Diceros bicornis minor: one gene and its partner. The protein of the gene in region 2 binds, or shares a complex with, the protein of the main gene of each other region. Links are inferred from orthologs where the notes say so. Each region holds a gene or a part of one and is shown on either strand. Other genes may lie near its edges.

The links.
Region 1: the proteins of PPARGC1B (region 2) and PPARA are in contact, whole or in part, in a crystal structure (PDB 3SP6), measured with the Homo sapiens proteins. The link is inferred for Diceros bicornis minor from reciprocal best matches to the Homo sapiens genes PPARGC1B and PPARA. Residues at the interface, in NP_573570.3 of Homo sapiens: Ser154, Leu155, Leu156, Gln157, Leu159, Leu160, Leu161, Thr163; in NP_001001928.1 of Homo sapiens: Val284, Thr285, Thr288, Glu289, Lys292, Phe297, Leu302, Asn303, Gln305, Val306, Leu309, Pro458, Leu459, Glu462, Ile463.

Annotation. Positions count from the first base shown.
Region 1 is NC_080764.1:4,341,948-4,349,285, forward strand, and holds the start of PPARA (peroxisome proliferator-activated receptor alpha), read right to left. Parts: upstream 3,093-7,338; 5' UTR 2,915-3,092; intron 1-2,914. UniProt on the Homo sapiens protein: Ligand-activated transcription factor. Key regulator of lipid metabolism. Activated by the endogenous ligand 1-palmitoyl-2-oleoyl-sn-glycerol-3-phosphocholine (16:0/18:1-GPC). Activated by oleylethanolamide, a naturally occurring lipid that regulates satiety.
Region 2 is NC_080740.1:66,821,805-66,829,274, reverse strand, and holds the start of PPARGC1B (peroxisome proliferator-activated receptor gamma coactivator 1-beta), read right to left. Parts: upstream 3,101-7,470; 5' UTR 2,958-3,100; coding exon 2,880-2,957; intron 1-2,879. UniProt on the Homo sapiens protein: Plays a role of stimulator of transcription factors and nuclear receptors activities. Activates transcriptional activity of estrogen receptor alpha, nuclear respiratory factor 1 (NRF1) and glucocorticoid receptor in the presence of glucocorticoids.

The sequences.
Region 1 (7,338 bases), on a different chromosome or scaffold from region 2:
CGCCCAACACGGTCACGCCCAAGTCCAGGAAGATTTCACGGAGCCTGCGATTCCGCAGATCCCCCAAGGATCAGGAATAGCCCTTTGCATGGTCTAGCTATACCCGAGTAAGGACAATGCAAAATGTATCACCACCAAAACCTGAGGGCATGTCGATGTTCAGAGAAAGCACGAACCACACATATTTTGTTGTTACTGGTGTAGAATTCTTGTTTACCTATTCAAAAAGAAAAAGAAAATTTTTTTTGTGTATGGAGGGGAGGTGTGTTTCTTTCTGAAAGCCTTTGAAAATCGTAAAATGGTCAGAGCAAAAATAAGACAGGGGTCAGGTGTGGCTGAGTGAGAGGTGCAGGCAGTTCAGGGCGTGGCTTCCTCCTCTGAGAGACACCTCCTGGGCTGCATATGGTTTTTTGCATTTTATAAAGAATCTTCATGGAGCCAGCCCTGATCACCTAGCAGCCAAAGGTCGGCGTGCTCCACTTCTGCAGTCCAGGTTCGGTTCCCAGGCGTGGAACTACACTACTCGCCTGTCAGTAGCCATGCTGTGGTGGTGGCTCACATAGAAGAACCCAAACTTACAACTGTGTACTGGGGCTTTGGGGGGCAAAAGAAGAAAAAAGGAGGAAGATTGGCAAAACATGTTAGCTTAGGGCAAATCTTCCCCTGCAAAAAAAAAAAAAGGAATCTTCACGTAAGCCACCCCTTTGAGCCTTCCAACCCTTCAGAGGTAGAATGAAAAGGAACTCCGTTTTCTGATGAGAAAACAGCAGTTTAGAGAGGTGGACAAAATCCCCAGGCCTGTCAGGCAGCAGCTACAGGACGAGAATCCAAATCTCATGATTAATGGCCTAACGCCTTTTCCACTATAACAAGCCGCTTCCCTGACGCAAACCAAAATTTTCAAATGTTTTTTCTTGTATATATGCTGATCTCAACACAAATGCAGCTCAACCACAAACAGCTACAACAGGGCTGACCCAGTGAGGAGTAAATTCTTCACTTTTTAGACACCACAATGTCACCACTACAAGATGCTAAGTAATTAAACACTCTAGAAACAAAGAACAAACATACCTCCAGATAATGAGCAAATCAGACTAGTTATGTCTGCTACAGAACAGGCCGGAAAATTTGCACCATGTGTCCATTTCCCTAAGCAGCTCACTACATGCCAGCAACAGAAATCCTGGGAAGAAGAAACAAGTTCTTTTAAATAGGTCCCATGGGACATCTAGGACTTTTCCTATTTGGTTCTTGCCTTAAAACTATCTTAACACCAAGGTGGAAATTAACATTCTTTGCCCAATTTTCCCTAAGCACATGGCCTTAGCGGTGAGCTGGCTTGTTCTAGGTAGTCAACAAGGCAGAAATAACAGATACAGCAAATGTCTATCCTACAAACAGAAACTATGCCTTTTTCTTGAAATGTTTATGAAATATTTAAAAGACTGACACTATACCAAGCCACCAAAAACAGAAATGCAAACAGAGGCCCTCAAATTCCAAAAAGGCAGAAATTCTACAGGCCACATCCTCCAACTGCCACGTGACAAAATTACTACAATTGTTCAACAAAAATGCCAGCCACTTGGAAGCTGACACTCAACCTATGTGCCACTAAGACTATTTCCATTCACACACAGAGACCGTGAGAGAGGAAAAGAGAGGAGAATCTGACATATTTAAAATCTGTTCACATTAAGCAAAGAAACATTTTAATAAAAATTTTTTAAAAGATTACCTAAAGAATATTTATTACAAAAACACAGATGCTCATAGATAGCATGCAAGAAAAAAAGCACTGTTACCAATCACTAAACAGAAAGGTGCTATGGCAAAAACAGTTCCCTCTCCACACTCCAGTGTGTCTTTTAAGATGATGAGGATAATCTTTAAGTTTCTCTTTTACATTCTGATATAAAAATCAGCTTCATGAGCAGATCCACAGCTGCCTTGCTCAATACTGAGCACAAGAGCCCACAGCAGCTACTCAATAACCATTTATAGAATGAATGATTAAATACACACACACACACACACACACACACACACATATAAAGGAATTGGCTAAATAATTATTGTATCTAAACACCACAAAATATTATATAGACATTTAAGATGATGAAGCACAAACACATTCATTCACATGGAAAGACTTTTCATAACCTAATAGTCAATAAAGTAGGTTACAAAATAGGTTATATAGAAATGTTTTTTTTTTCTCCTCTCTCTCTCTCACACACACACACAATGTTTAAAAATCTGTTCACAAGCCTGACAAACATGAGCTAGCAAAAAAAAAACAATTTTATGATTATGGAATGACTCTTATTATATGTCTAAGATGTGAGAAAAGAGAGAGAGAATTTTTTTTCTACTGTCAATTAATTTGCCTTTCCTTCAAAGTTGTACAGAATTTTGTCAGGCTCACTGCCCGGCCCCTCATGGACAGTGACCTCTCAAATCTGCACCATCCGCCCACTTCTCCACGCTGTCCGTGTCCTAGCTGATGATAGTTCTAGACCTGACCTACTATCCCAGCAAGCCATCTGCTTGATATTCAGATTACAATTACGACAGCTAAGAGGCCCGCATGCCGTTCTTCACTTGTCAGCCTGTGTAACTTCACTGTCTAAGTAGTAAAGAGTTCTCACAGTTATATGTAGTTTTCGATTACATGGAACCAGCCTGCCATGAAGAAATGCAGTTGCTAGCGAAACTGACACACTAAACTTTTCAGAACTTAAAGGGGAATCTATCCACATTTATCTTCCTTTTAAAGCACTGAAAATATATCTAAGGCTGCATCACAAAGGAATAATTAACCCCCAAATTGCGAGTCTGTAGGGCAACGGAAGTAAACACTTAAAGACTTCGGTCTGGAAACACGAGTAAATCAAACCTTCTATTTTACCTGTGATGACAACGTCTCGGGTCTGCGCTTGCGGTGCCACAAACTGTTCCTGCACAGGGGCGGGAGGACCTGTCACGGCGGGCGGCCTTGGCAGCGAGAAGGTAAAGGAGGAAATGATTGCGATATGTCCTCTGGATTCTCCCCAACTCTCCACCACCTTGGAAGAGGAAAGTCACCGTGACCGGGCTTATTCAACGGCGAGGGGGTGGCAGGGCCGTTCCCAGGAACACCCTGTGCCCCGCCTCCCCTCCCCATTCCCCGCGCACCCCTTCCCAAGCAGCCCTGGGAGCGCAGGGTGGCTGGGTTGAGAGGGTCGTGCAGCCCCGAAGGTCCCAGAGCGCCCCGCGAAACCCAAGACATTCTACAACTACAGGCTTTTCTTAGAAAGAACCTTGACATTTGGGGCACGCCGTCCCTTCTTTAAACTTAAAAAGGCGAGGAAAGCACAGGAGGGCAGTTGTCTTCTGTTAGTCCGGGGTGGGCGGAGGGGGGCAGAACCGACCCTCGGGACGTCCGCCAGCACCACCCTGGCCCCTCGGGGCGGCGCAGGGCGCGCGCTGGAGCCTGCTGGGCTCGCCCGGCCCGGCCCCACTGGGTCGCCCGACTGCGCTCGGGCGCGAAGCGGCGCAGTTCCTCAAAGGCGCCCCGCGGCCGGGGAACTAACCCGCGTGAGCTTCTCCCGCCGGACCGCAGCCGCGGGCGCACGGCCCCCGGGGTCGCGCCTGTCCCGGCCTCGGGCTACCTAGCCTCGGGGATCCCCGGGGGTCTCGGGAAACGCCCCCCAGTCGCTGACGCCCAAACTCGACCGCACCGAGGGAAGGGCGCGCCCGATGCCCCCGCCTGGTGGGCCATCCCTCCCACGCGACAACTTGAGGACCCAGTGTCTCCGAGGTCCCCGGCCTCGCCGCCGCGCAGCCCAGCCCCACCGACAGCCGCGGACGCCGGGGCTCCGCGTAGGCCTCCGGCGCTCGGCCCGAGGGGCCCCTGGGCCCGGGGATCCCCCGCACAAGCCCGCGGCGGCCGCCCCAGCCCCGAGCCCCGCGCATGCGCCGCCTGGCCCCGGCCTCTCCGCCGCCGCCGCCCCGGGTCCCCGGGTAGGGGAGGCCCGGCCCGCGGACCCCCGCGCGCGTGCCCGCCCGCCCGGCCGCCCCTGGGCACCTGGGGCCGCGGTCCGCCGCCTGCCGGTCCGCCGGGCGAGCGCGCCGAGGGAGGCGGCGCCGGGCAGGGCGCTAGCGGCCGCCTCCGCCCACGCCGCCCACTGCCCCCGCCGTGGGGCCGCCGCGTCCCCTGCCCATGCCCGGCGCCGCCTCCCCGCGCCCGTGCCAGCCGCGCCCCCGCGGCACGCGCCGCCCCTTGCCCCCCCGCGCGACCCGGCAGCGCGGGCGGCTAGCGCGGGTGGGCGGCCCGGAAGCCCCGCCCCCGGGCCTCCCGTCCCGCCCCCGGGCCTCCAGCCGCGGCCCCGGGCGGGACACACCCCCCCGGACGGCGGCGCCCGATTGGCTCCCCGCGGGGCCGGGGCGGGGCCGCGGCGGCCACAGGGCCGCCGTGGGTGGCTCCCACCTCGTGCCCCACGGCAGCTGCAGCAGTGGGGAAACTGAGGCCAGGGAGGCGGAGGGACTGCCAAGGTCACCGGGCGGGCTGGTACGGCGCCGGCATGGCCCACCGGGAGGGGCTGAAGGCCAGGCGGAGGCGGGCGCCAGGCTGCGGGACGGGTGGAGGTTCACGCCCAGCGCCCTGGCCACGCTGGCGAGGCCCTTCCTCGCTCCGGGAGCCCGGCTCTGCCGGTCTGTACGATGAACTGGCCTAGACGGGGGCCAGGCGCGGGTGCCCTCGATCTCCGGGGTGCGCGGGGTGAGGAATGGGGGGCGGGCATGGAAGGACCGGACCCCGGGACCCCAGGGTGCCAAAGAAGGAGAAAGGGAACGCGAGCTGGGAGGACCCAGTGTCAACAGGTGGCGAAGGTGCCGGGGCGGGTGCGGCGGGCGGGGGAACGGGAAGGGTGAAGGGCAACGGGGACGGGCGGGGGGAGGCGCTGCTGACTCCGACCACCCGCTCCCCATCCCACGGCCAGCTGCCAAAGAGCCGTGTCCCCTCCCTCGGTGCCTCGGGGGTGAGGGGCTGACTTTGTGCCCAGCCAAGGCGCTGGGCCTCTGCCAGCGCAGGGGGAGGTCGCGGCCCGACAGCCAATAGCGAGGAGCAAGGGGGGCGTGGGGGGAGCTGCAAAGCGGCTTTGTTTGCGCGGCGATGCCCGAGCTCCCCGCGTGGAATGCACAAAACCCCGTGTGCCAGCGCATCAGGACGCCCCTCCTTTGGGAACGAAATGTGTGCTATGCCAGCCCTCCTCCCTGCCCTCCCTGCTCCTGCCACTGTTCTATTTGTAGCGACCAGAGCCCAGGAAGACCTACTCCGGGCAGGAAGCACAGTTCCAACAAATGCCTGGATTACGCACAGACACTGGAGACCAGGCGGAACCTGTCCCTTTCACAGATGTCTTATAAACTCACACTTGTTGGTTCACTGCATACCTGGGTGAACTTTGCCCCACCCTGCACACACCCACACAACTTTCCCACTTGCACACCAAGTCCAACTTTTATTGCACATCCTAGCAATAGCCAATATTTGTATTAGGTTCCAGAGCTTAGGAAGCGATCCCTGTGCATTATATCCTGGATATCTGTAGGTTGGGCAGGCAACAGTATTATTTATTTATGTGGCTAGAGGCCATACTGTGCTGGGTGTCATGGATGTAGCAGCAAAGGAAGCTGCCCAGCGGCTGCCCGTATGGGCTCATGTCCTCGTGAGGACATCCAGACTCAAAGACATCACCTGATATACTCCAGAGCCCAGGCTGTCAAGGACCAAGAGTCCAAATGCAGGTGTGTTGGCTTCTTTTCCCAGAGGCACTGTGATGGTCTGCCATAAACCTAGTTCAACCAGGCAGTTGGAGAGACCCTGGAAAAGTTGTTTTGAACGAGGACAAAGGAAGCTGTGTAGAGTTCAACAGAGTAGTGTGTACACCCAGAAGACAGAGAGAAATGATGTTGTTGGGGATCCCGAGGTTTTAGGGAGAGAAAACTTGTTTTTCATGCGTGTGTTGAAAGTTGTCACGAACAAAAGCACCAGCCAGGCCCCACAGGTAGAAAGTGGAAGGACGTACAGGACTTTTCTCTTGGGAGTATCCTGGCCAGAAATGGCTCCATACATGCTGCCCCGGGGGGGGACCCTGGGTTCCTGTTTGCTGTGAAGACCTGGTCACTCACCCAGCATGGGAGAAACTGTCGCAAAGGACACCCCCCGCCCCACCCCCAGTTCCAGGAAGTCTCTCCCTCTCTCTTCACCTCCTTCAGCGTTGATGAAGTATAGGTTACACAACAGAACAGATGGCCTTCTGTGCAGGCACTGAGCAGAAATCTATAACTTTGGGGACAAATTAGCACTCGTGAAAACATGTCTGAGCACCACCTGAGTTCCTCTTTGGAACCTTCGTAAATACTGGGAGCGTTTGGGGACGCATGTATCTCAGTTCATAGCTTCCATTTCTTTGGTGCTGATGCTGTTTCAGGGCCTGTTTCCCATTTTCTAATCTTGAGGATGTTCAGAGAGATGATTATTATGGTGCCCACATGACAACAGAGAGGCACAGAGAGGCGCCCACTGCACTGGGGCACATAGACCAGTATCGGGGCCCAGGATGGGGGGTGGGTCATGGAGCCCACTCCTGCCCCGCTGAGCCACTCCTGGATACACCACCCTGCCCAACCCCACCAGCGCAGCCAAGGCCCTTCCTTGGCCTCTCGGGGGAGGGGGAATCAGGAGGCTGGGACATTCAGAGCAGGGGAGGGGGTCGCTGGAGGAGGCCACCTGAAGTGATACGGGTCTGCCACCAATGCTAGCAGCAGGTTAGACCCCGAACATGTACGCAGGTAGGGTCAGCTGTGGTCAGAGAGAATGTGAGACCCGACTGCTGGCCCCAACCCCTGCCCGGGCAAAGCTTCTCCCATGGGTCTGGGGGTCCAGGCCGATGTCTGTCTGTTTGCCCGGCAGCTTAGGTAAGCCCTTTTCCAGGAGCTGTCCAAGCCCTCTGCAAGTCACTTGTTTGCCCATTGCTGATCTACAAAGCTTCCTGATGAGGTGGAATTTGTGCTTCTGAGTGTCATCAGCCAGGGCAGTGGCCTCTGATCTCCTGGAAGCATGCCTTCAGGTCAGGTGGTGGAAGTCACTGGGGACAGGGGATACGCTGAGAAAGGGAGAGTTCACTGTTGGGAAGTACAGAGCTGCTGCATGGCCCACAGCTGCACCTCGGTGGGGACCAACCATGGACATGGGCGTGGCTGCTATCCTAGTAATGACAGGAAAACCTCACGGGTCCAGGTGACGTAGTCTTGTCACTGTAAGGCACGGAACTCGAAACAGTCCCACAA
Region 2 (7,470 bases):
ACTTTCACAATCCTTAATCTGCTGAATTTCTGAACTTTGGCCCAAATGAGTAAAAGTTAAGTCTCCTACACAGACGTCCTCCCTCTGTCTAATCCTGGATTAGCCACCAAAGACAACAAAAGTCTTTTGCATAAAGACAATCAATTATCTTTTCATTCACTTTTCCCACCCTTTCCAAAGGGAGAGATGGAGGAGGGGAGGGTCAGTGAGGGTCTAGGGGAGGAGAGGGAGTTGCAGGAACAACCAGACATCTCACATGCAAACAGTGCTCACCCCCACCATCTGGCCATTGGCTTCTCTTGCGAGCGCCACCAGCCCCATTTGACAGATGGAGGAAAGGAGGCTCAGAGAGTTAAAATGGCTTGCTCCAGGGTCACCCAGCCAGAAAGTGGGGAAGGCGACTCCACTCAGGCCTTCTGACTCCAAGTCCAGTGCTATTTCGAGGTAACACACAGGACCTGGAGTCAGGAGGCCTGGGTGGCTCTGTCACTCGCTGGCTGCGTGGTCCTGCACAAGCCGCTCACCCCTCACAGCCTCTATCCCCAACTGGAAAATGAGGAGGCACAGGATGGCCTGCCCAGGTCCTCTTCCGGCTGGGCTCTATGAGCCTTTTAGGGGTGGTTGCAAAGCTCCCCCTATCAATTACATTTCCCAAGTTGGGCCGGCAAAGATCACCAGAAGATCCCCAGCCTGTCACGTGGTTACATAAAAAAAGCAAACGTCCCAGATTAACTTTCACTGCACTGCTTCTGCTGACACCTGATTACCCAATTTTCTAGTTTCCTTGGGTGAAATATCCCTGCTGGGTAGGCCCGCTGGGCGCCTAAAAGGGAAAATAATTAATTATTGGTGAGCCGAAGAACCCTGAAGATGGAGTTAAAACCTGGGGTTGGGTCCAGAACGGGCAGTTCTTGCTATGAGTTCCTGAACAAATCTCTGGCTATTTCAGGCCTTCTTCACCCGCATCTTAGTCGAGAGGGCTGGAGACACCCCCAGACAAGTGCGAAGGCTGAGGACAGAACTTTCCCAGGGGCAACTCTGCCCCGCCGGCTCCAAGTCCCCCTAGCCCCAGGCTGTTGGCTGGGGCGGGGGACGGGGGGCATCGACCTTCCGCACAGACACGGGCGCGGGACGTGTGACGGCGCCCGGTGACCGCCGCGGGAGCTACACTGCAGTTTCGTCAGAGGTAAAGGTACGCGCCCGGCGCGCGCGGCGTGTGCACAGAAACACACACACCCGCGCGCGCAGACCGCTCATCACACACTCCCTCCGGCCTTGAGAAGCGCGATCACACGCCACCAGCCCCATCGACCCCTGCCCCGAACCCACCCGAGCGCGCCCGCCACCGACCACGAGGCCCCGCGGCTCCCTGACGCATGGACGTCTGCAGCGAGCGAGGGCCGGCCTTCTCCGGCGCGTGGCGGGCTTCCTCTCGGCGACACCCCGCCACGCCGCGCCGTCCTAGCCGCCAGCCGGGAGTCGCCACCCGGAGTCCGCCCGGAGCTGAACGTTTCAGCTGCTGCGTCCGCTCCAAGTCGCGTCTCACAGCAAGGAGTCAGCTTGCAAACCTCTCCCCGCCCACCCGGTCCCATGACAGCTGCTGCCGCCCAAAGACAGGCAGATTATAACAAGAAGCAAAGTTTCTCTCTCTCTCCTCCCTCCCTACCACCCCCCCGCCTTTCCCCTCCCTTCCAGTGTTATGCAAAACGAGCCGGCACGGGCGCTCCGACTCCAGGTACCAAACCAGCCCTCGCGAGCCGCGCCCGGTTCCGCCCGGCGGCCCCTCTCCGCTCCCAGGCGTGCGCCCGCATCCGGGGTCTCATTCTCGGCTCCACCGCATCCCCAGCCTCCCGGCTACCCGCAGCCGCGCGCCCGGAGAAAAAAACCATAACTATGGGGCCAAACTTTATGCTTGCAACAGGCATGAGGTGGGGGAAACCGGGGAAGGGGTGGGGGGCGCGCACGCCTTGTGCAGGCATTTTCGGTGGCTGCTTGTCCCAGCAGCACCCCCCCACACCCGTCTCCAAGCCACCAGCTTCCTCGCCACTACCCCCCCCCCCCGCACACCAGAACACCCTCTCCTGTCACGCGCGTGTCGCCTGTGGGGCTCCCAGGCGCAGCCAGAGCCCGGGACGCCGCCTCGCCTTCCCTTCCCCCAGCATCTCCGAGCGCGCACCGGGGCCGCGCGCCACAGGGGGACCCAGGCGCCCCCAGACAGTCCTTCCGCCCCCATCCTGCCGTGCTTTTCCCCCAAGAGGCTCCGCCGCGTAGCGAAACCAGGAAGGTGCTATCCCCGCTCGCATGTCCACGTGCCTCGCAGACCCCTATGCCCTTAGCAGGCAACCGGCAGGAAACTCTGCGCTGCGGGCGCCGAAGGGGAGCCGCGGGGGGCCAGCAGCAGCACTCGGGGGACCGGAGACGAGAGGACCAGGGGACTCCGGGGACCGGGGCAGGCGCCTGTGTCGGGGCCACAAGTCCACGTGAAAGTACGGCAGCAAGTGCTGGGAGCCTGAGGGCGCGCCTCCAGCACCCAGAGCCAGCCTGAGGGTCCCCCACACGTTGGCGCGGCTCCACCTCCCCAAGGAAGTGCGGTACCCCCCAGCTCTGTCGGCGGGGGTTGGGGGGCGGACTCCAAACGACCAAGGCTAGACCCTCCCCAGCGGCCGTAGCGCCAACGCTCCGGCATGCGCGGGGGGACCTCCAGCTCCCCGCCCCCGGAACGGAGCGCATCGCAGAGCGCATGGAAGAGGGGCTCTGCAGCCTGGAACCCCCGGTCCCCCCACTGCGCCCACTGCTGCCTCCCGGCCTCCGCGGCTGCGACGGCAGCCCCCGCAGCTCAGCACCTCTGGCCCCGCGCCCGCGGCCCCTACTGGCCATACCTGGGTGTCGGCGAGATAGTTGAGGAAGAAGGAGGAGAGCTCCTCGTCCAGCAGCGCGCCGCAGTCGTTCCCCGCCATCTTCCAGCCGCGGCTGCAGCGTGCGGCGGAGTCAGCGCCGAGCCGGCCGCGGGGGAGGGAGCCAGCGAGCGAGCGAGGGAGGCGGGAGGAGGGAGCGAGGCCGGCGGGAGGCAGAGGGCGGAGCTCAGGCTCCGGCTGCCGCAGGGCCGGCGGCTGCGGGGCGGGGCCGCGCGGTGCCCGCGCTAGCCGGGGGTCGCGCCCCCACCTTCCTGCGCAACGTCTGGCGCCGCGATCCTCGCTCGCAGCTTCCAGCCGGGAGGAAAGCTCCCGCAGCCGGATGATGGTGCCCCAGCCAGCAGCCCGATGCCTGCGCAGCAATGCGGGCAGCCCCTCGCTCCTGCCAGAGCGAATCACGTTGCGTTAGCGCTGGGCGGGTCCTTCGAGACAACCTGCTTCTGCACAGCTGGGGAAACTGAGGCCCGGGAAGGTAAAAGGACCTCTTTTGAAGCCGCAGTGCACTTCAATAGCAGGAAGACAAAGCCCAAGTCTGACTGCCCCAGAGGCTTGAGTGTCTCTACCCAGACTGCCGTATGTCAAGAGTGGAGAAATCAGGGAAGGCTCCTTGGAGGGGGTGACGTTTTTACCTTTTCCTTGAAAGATGCGTTGACCCATAGTCTAAGTTTGACCCTCTCTCTCTCCCGTCTCCCCTCACTTCCCTCCCCCGCCAAAAAAAACACACAAAAAAACTGTCAATGACTTCTCTTACCATGGCCTACAATGCCTTGAAGTGGCCAAGCTCCTGGCGGCTTCCTCTGGCCCACTGGCCTTCTCCCAGTTCCTCAGATGAACCATCTCACAAAGGGCCTCTATACACGGAGTGCTGTCTCCTGGCCAGTAGCCATTCACCTAGTAACCACATCTTTAGGACATCCTTCCCCTCCGCCCCTCAGATTGTCAAGCCATTCCCTCTCCCCCCACCCCTACCATCATGGGCTCTGTTAGCTCCGCAGGCCTTTGCTTTAAAACGCTGGTCACACTGGGGCTGGCCCGGTGGCCTAATGGTTAGTTTGGTGTGCTCTGCTTCAGCGGCCCAGGTTCAGTTCCCAGGCTCGGACCTACACCACTCATCAGCGGCCATGCTGTGGTGGCGATCCACAAACAAAATAGAGGAAGATTGGCACAGATGTTAGCTCAGGGCGAATCTTCCTCAGCGAAAAAAATAAAATACAATGCTGGTCACAGTTGCCATTTTACATTTGTTTCAGTGAAGATTTGATCTTTGTGTCTTTCCTTACTAGACTCTAAGGCCCATGAAAGCAGGACCTGAATCTGCTTTTGCACTTGCTATGTCTCCAGTGCCTGGCACATAGTAGGTGTTTAATAAATAATGTGTTAACTGAAAAACCCAGAGGATTTTGATCCCCACCGCCACCATCGCACGTTGTATAAATAAGGAAACTACCCAGAGTGGAGGGTGCACATGGAGTGAGTGCTCTCCTTCTGGAGAGCCAGAACGGGAACTCAGGCCTCCTGACTCCAACCTTGAACTCGCATCATAGTGCCCTGCTGTTTGCCAGGCAGGAGATGAGGGCGCCGCCTGGATTAAGGCAGGAAGATTTAGGCGCATTTATTGGGCATGCCTGCCTCCTGCCCTCCTCCCACCCTGCACTCACAAGGGCGGCCCCACCCTGCCCGCCCTGCATGGGCTCCCTCCCTGTAGAGGAGGAAACAGGGAGAGTCCCCGGGACAGTACACCTGCTCAGACTTGAACACCAGAGCACGCGCTTCCTTCTTCTCCAGTCTGAGGTTCCCAGAACTGCACGGCAGGATTTCACTTTTTGGGCCGTAGGCGTGCTTTTAAGGAACAATGAATTCTAACAGAGAGCCTACATCTAGCCTTGGAGCACTAGCCTGGGAGTCAGGAGTCCTGGGTTCTGGTCCAGCCCTGCCACATCTTGTTCCAGTGTTGGGCAACTCGGGAAGTTCAGAGCCTGGGCCCTCTGGTTAGACTGCTTGGTTTTGAACCCCCGCAGGTCATTTAGTCTCAGGCCTCAGCTTCCTCATCTCCACAAATGGAGATCATAGAATGACTTACTTCATAGGGATGTTATGATGATATGATGATTGAGGAGACAATATATGGAAAGTGCTTGGCGTGATGCCTGGCCTCGTGGGGAAAATGCTAAACTCTGATGCTCTGTTTCCACATCTGTAAAAATGAGGATAAAATACATATCCCTTGAAGGCACTGGCCAGTGTTACTTTCGTTTCTTCTGGCACTTTTAGGCTGCCGGCTAGCATGTACTCCGACAGATCTGGACTTGAGTCCTGGCTCTCACTAGCTGTGTGCCCTTGGTCATTCACCTAAGCTCTCTGAGCCTCAGTTTCCTCCACGTAGGGATCTGGTGAAGATGGAGTGAAACAATGCATGTAAGTGAATGGCTTGGCCCTGCGCCTGGCAGAGAGGAAGTGCTCATCCTCTGCCTCATCATCATCACCACCATCTCCAACATCGTCACCATTAGCACTAAAGACCTGAGCTCCCCGATGGCCCCACTTTTCTGCTGCTGCCCATGGACACCAGAGGCAGAGCCCTGTGGGACAGTTTCCAGAGGTGTCCCTGCCAGATCCATCCTGGCCTCTGAGTGGTGATGTGCCCCTTAGAGCCTAGAGGCCAGACTTGGAGAGTCCCCAAGGCCAGCCATCTCTGGCTGTGGCCTTGCAGAGCTTCAGTACCAGACAGGGTCTCCCAGGGAAGGCCTCAACAGTGCTCGCCCAAAGGCTTTTGTCTTTAAAACTCTGGTGTTGATAGAAAAGCCTCAAATTGCCCAGCTTCGGGGACTTTCTCACTGGTCACTGTGTCCTCAGAGGGGCTTCTGGCTGGCAAGAAACTAGGGTGAGAAGGCACCTCCCCTGAGATACCTAGCTTCCTTTTCAGAAGCATCTTATCCCAAGACTTCCTCCATCACAGATCACCACTAGAGTCAGCCTCATCACTCTCTCTGGTCCACAGAGGAACTGGAAGTTCTCCACTGAGATTAGAAGCCCTCAAGAAACGTAAGGTGCTGGATGATCTTGTGCAATCGTGCAATTTGCTTCCCTCTCTGAGGCTGTTTCCCTGCCTGTAAAATGAAAGGGCTAGGGGACCGGCCCCGTGGCTTGGCGGTTAAGTGCTCGCGCTCCGCTGCTGGCGGCCCGGGGTTCGGATCCCGGACGCGCACCGACGCACCGATTCTCCGGCCATGCTGAGGCTGCGTCCCACATACAGCAACTAGAAGGATGTGCAACTATGGCATACAACTATCTAGTGGGGCTTTGGGGAAAAAAAGGAGGAGGATTGGCAATAGATGTTAGCTCAGAGCCGGTCTTCCTCAGCAAAAAAAAAAAAAATAAAGGGGAGGATTAGCATGGATGTTAGCTCAGGGCTGATCTCCCTCACAAAAAAATAAAAGAAAAAAATGAAAGGGCTGGGCTAAACGCACCTCTCCTGAACACTCCAGTCCAGATATGATGGCACTTTATAGGTATTAGCCAAAGCTTGGCAGCTTTTCTGTACTGAGCATGTGCCAGACACATGAGTTCATAGCATCCTGAGTGGTCAGCATTGTGATGTCCATTTTATGACTGAGGAAGCCAAAGCTTAAAAAGGGTGATTAGCCCAAGACCAAGCAGTTAGAGGTACAGCTGAGATTTGAACCCAGGTCTGTGCACAGTCCAAGCCACAGACCCTTGAAAGGGATTGAGAAAAACCTCACACCAGCAACCAGGAAGCTAGAATGGTGGCACATTTCTTATTTTATGACTTTCAAGTGGAGGGCAATAATAATGCTGAACTTGGACTTCATGTGATTGACTCCTATCTTCTCTGCCTTTCTATTGGCCTCACCTCTCTCAAGATTAATGAAAGTTTGCCCTGCACATACCCTGGGCAAAGCCCAGACTCCCCCAGGCTCCACGGAAATGGCTACAGCAAAATGAATTTATTTAACTTGAATATTTTAGTCACTACCAACAAATGCTCAAAAGTAAAAACATCAGCATTTTCTCTCCTCCGTTAATAGGAAGATGCTTTATTCAGACACTACAGCCATGGTTCTCAAACTCTGGAGGGTGTGTGGTCACCTGGGCCCTGTCACCAGAGATTACAATTCAGTTGGGCTGCAGTGGGCCTAGGAATCTGCATTTAATAGGCTCTCCTAGATGACTCTGCTGCAGGAAACCACCCATCATTCAACAGATGTTTAATGAGCACCTACTCTGTGCCAGCCACAGGCACCACTGTGCTAGGTGCCTTGGATTAATCAGTGAACACAACAGCTGCCATCCCTGCCCACATTCTATTCAACACCACTGCTTAGTAAGTTTTTGTTGAATGAGTGAACGAGATAGGACATGGGTCCTGATAATGAGTGAGGTTTCCTGCCAGCCACCCACAACTCTGTGATTCTATGGTCCAGGCCAGGGAGCCAGACACACACCTATTTCCCAGCTTCTGTCCGGGAGGCAGGGACTCAAGCCAAGAGGAACTAAAAAGTCACCTGCTTTGTATTGTTAACTCTGAAAGCCATCCCCA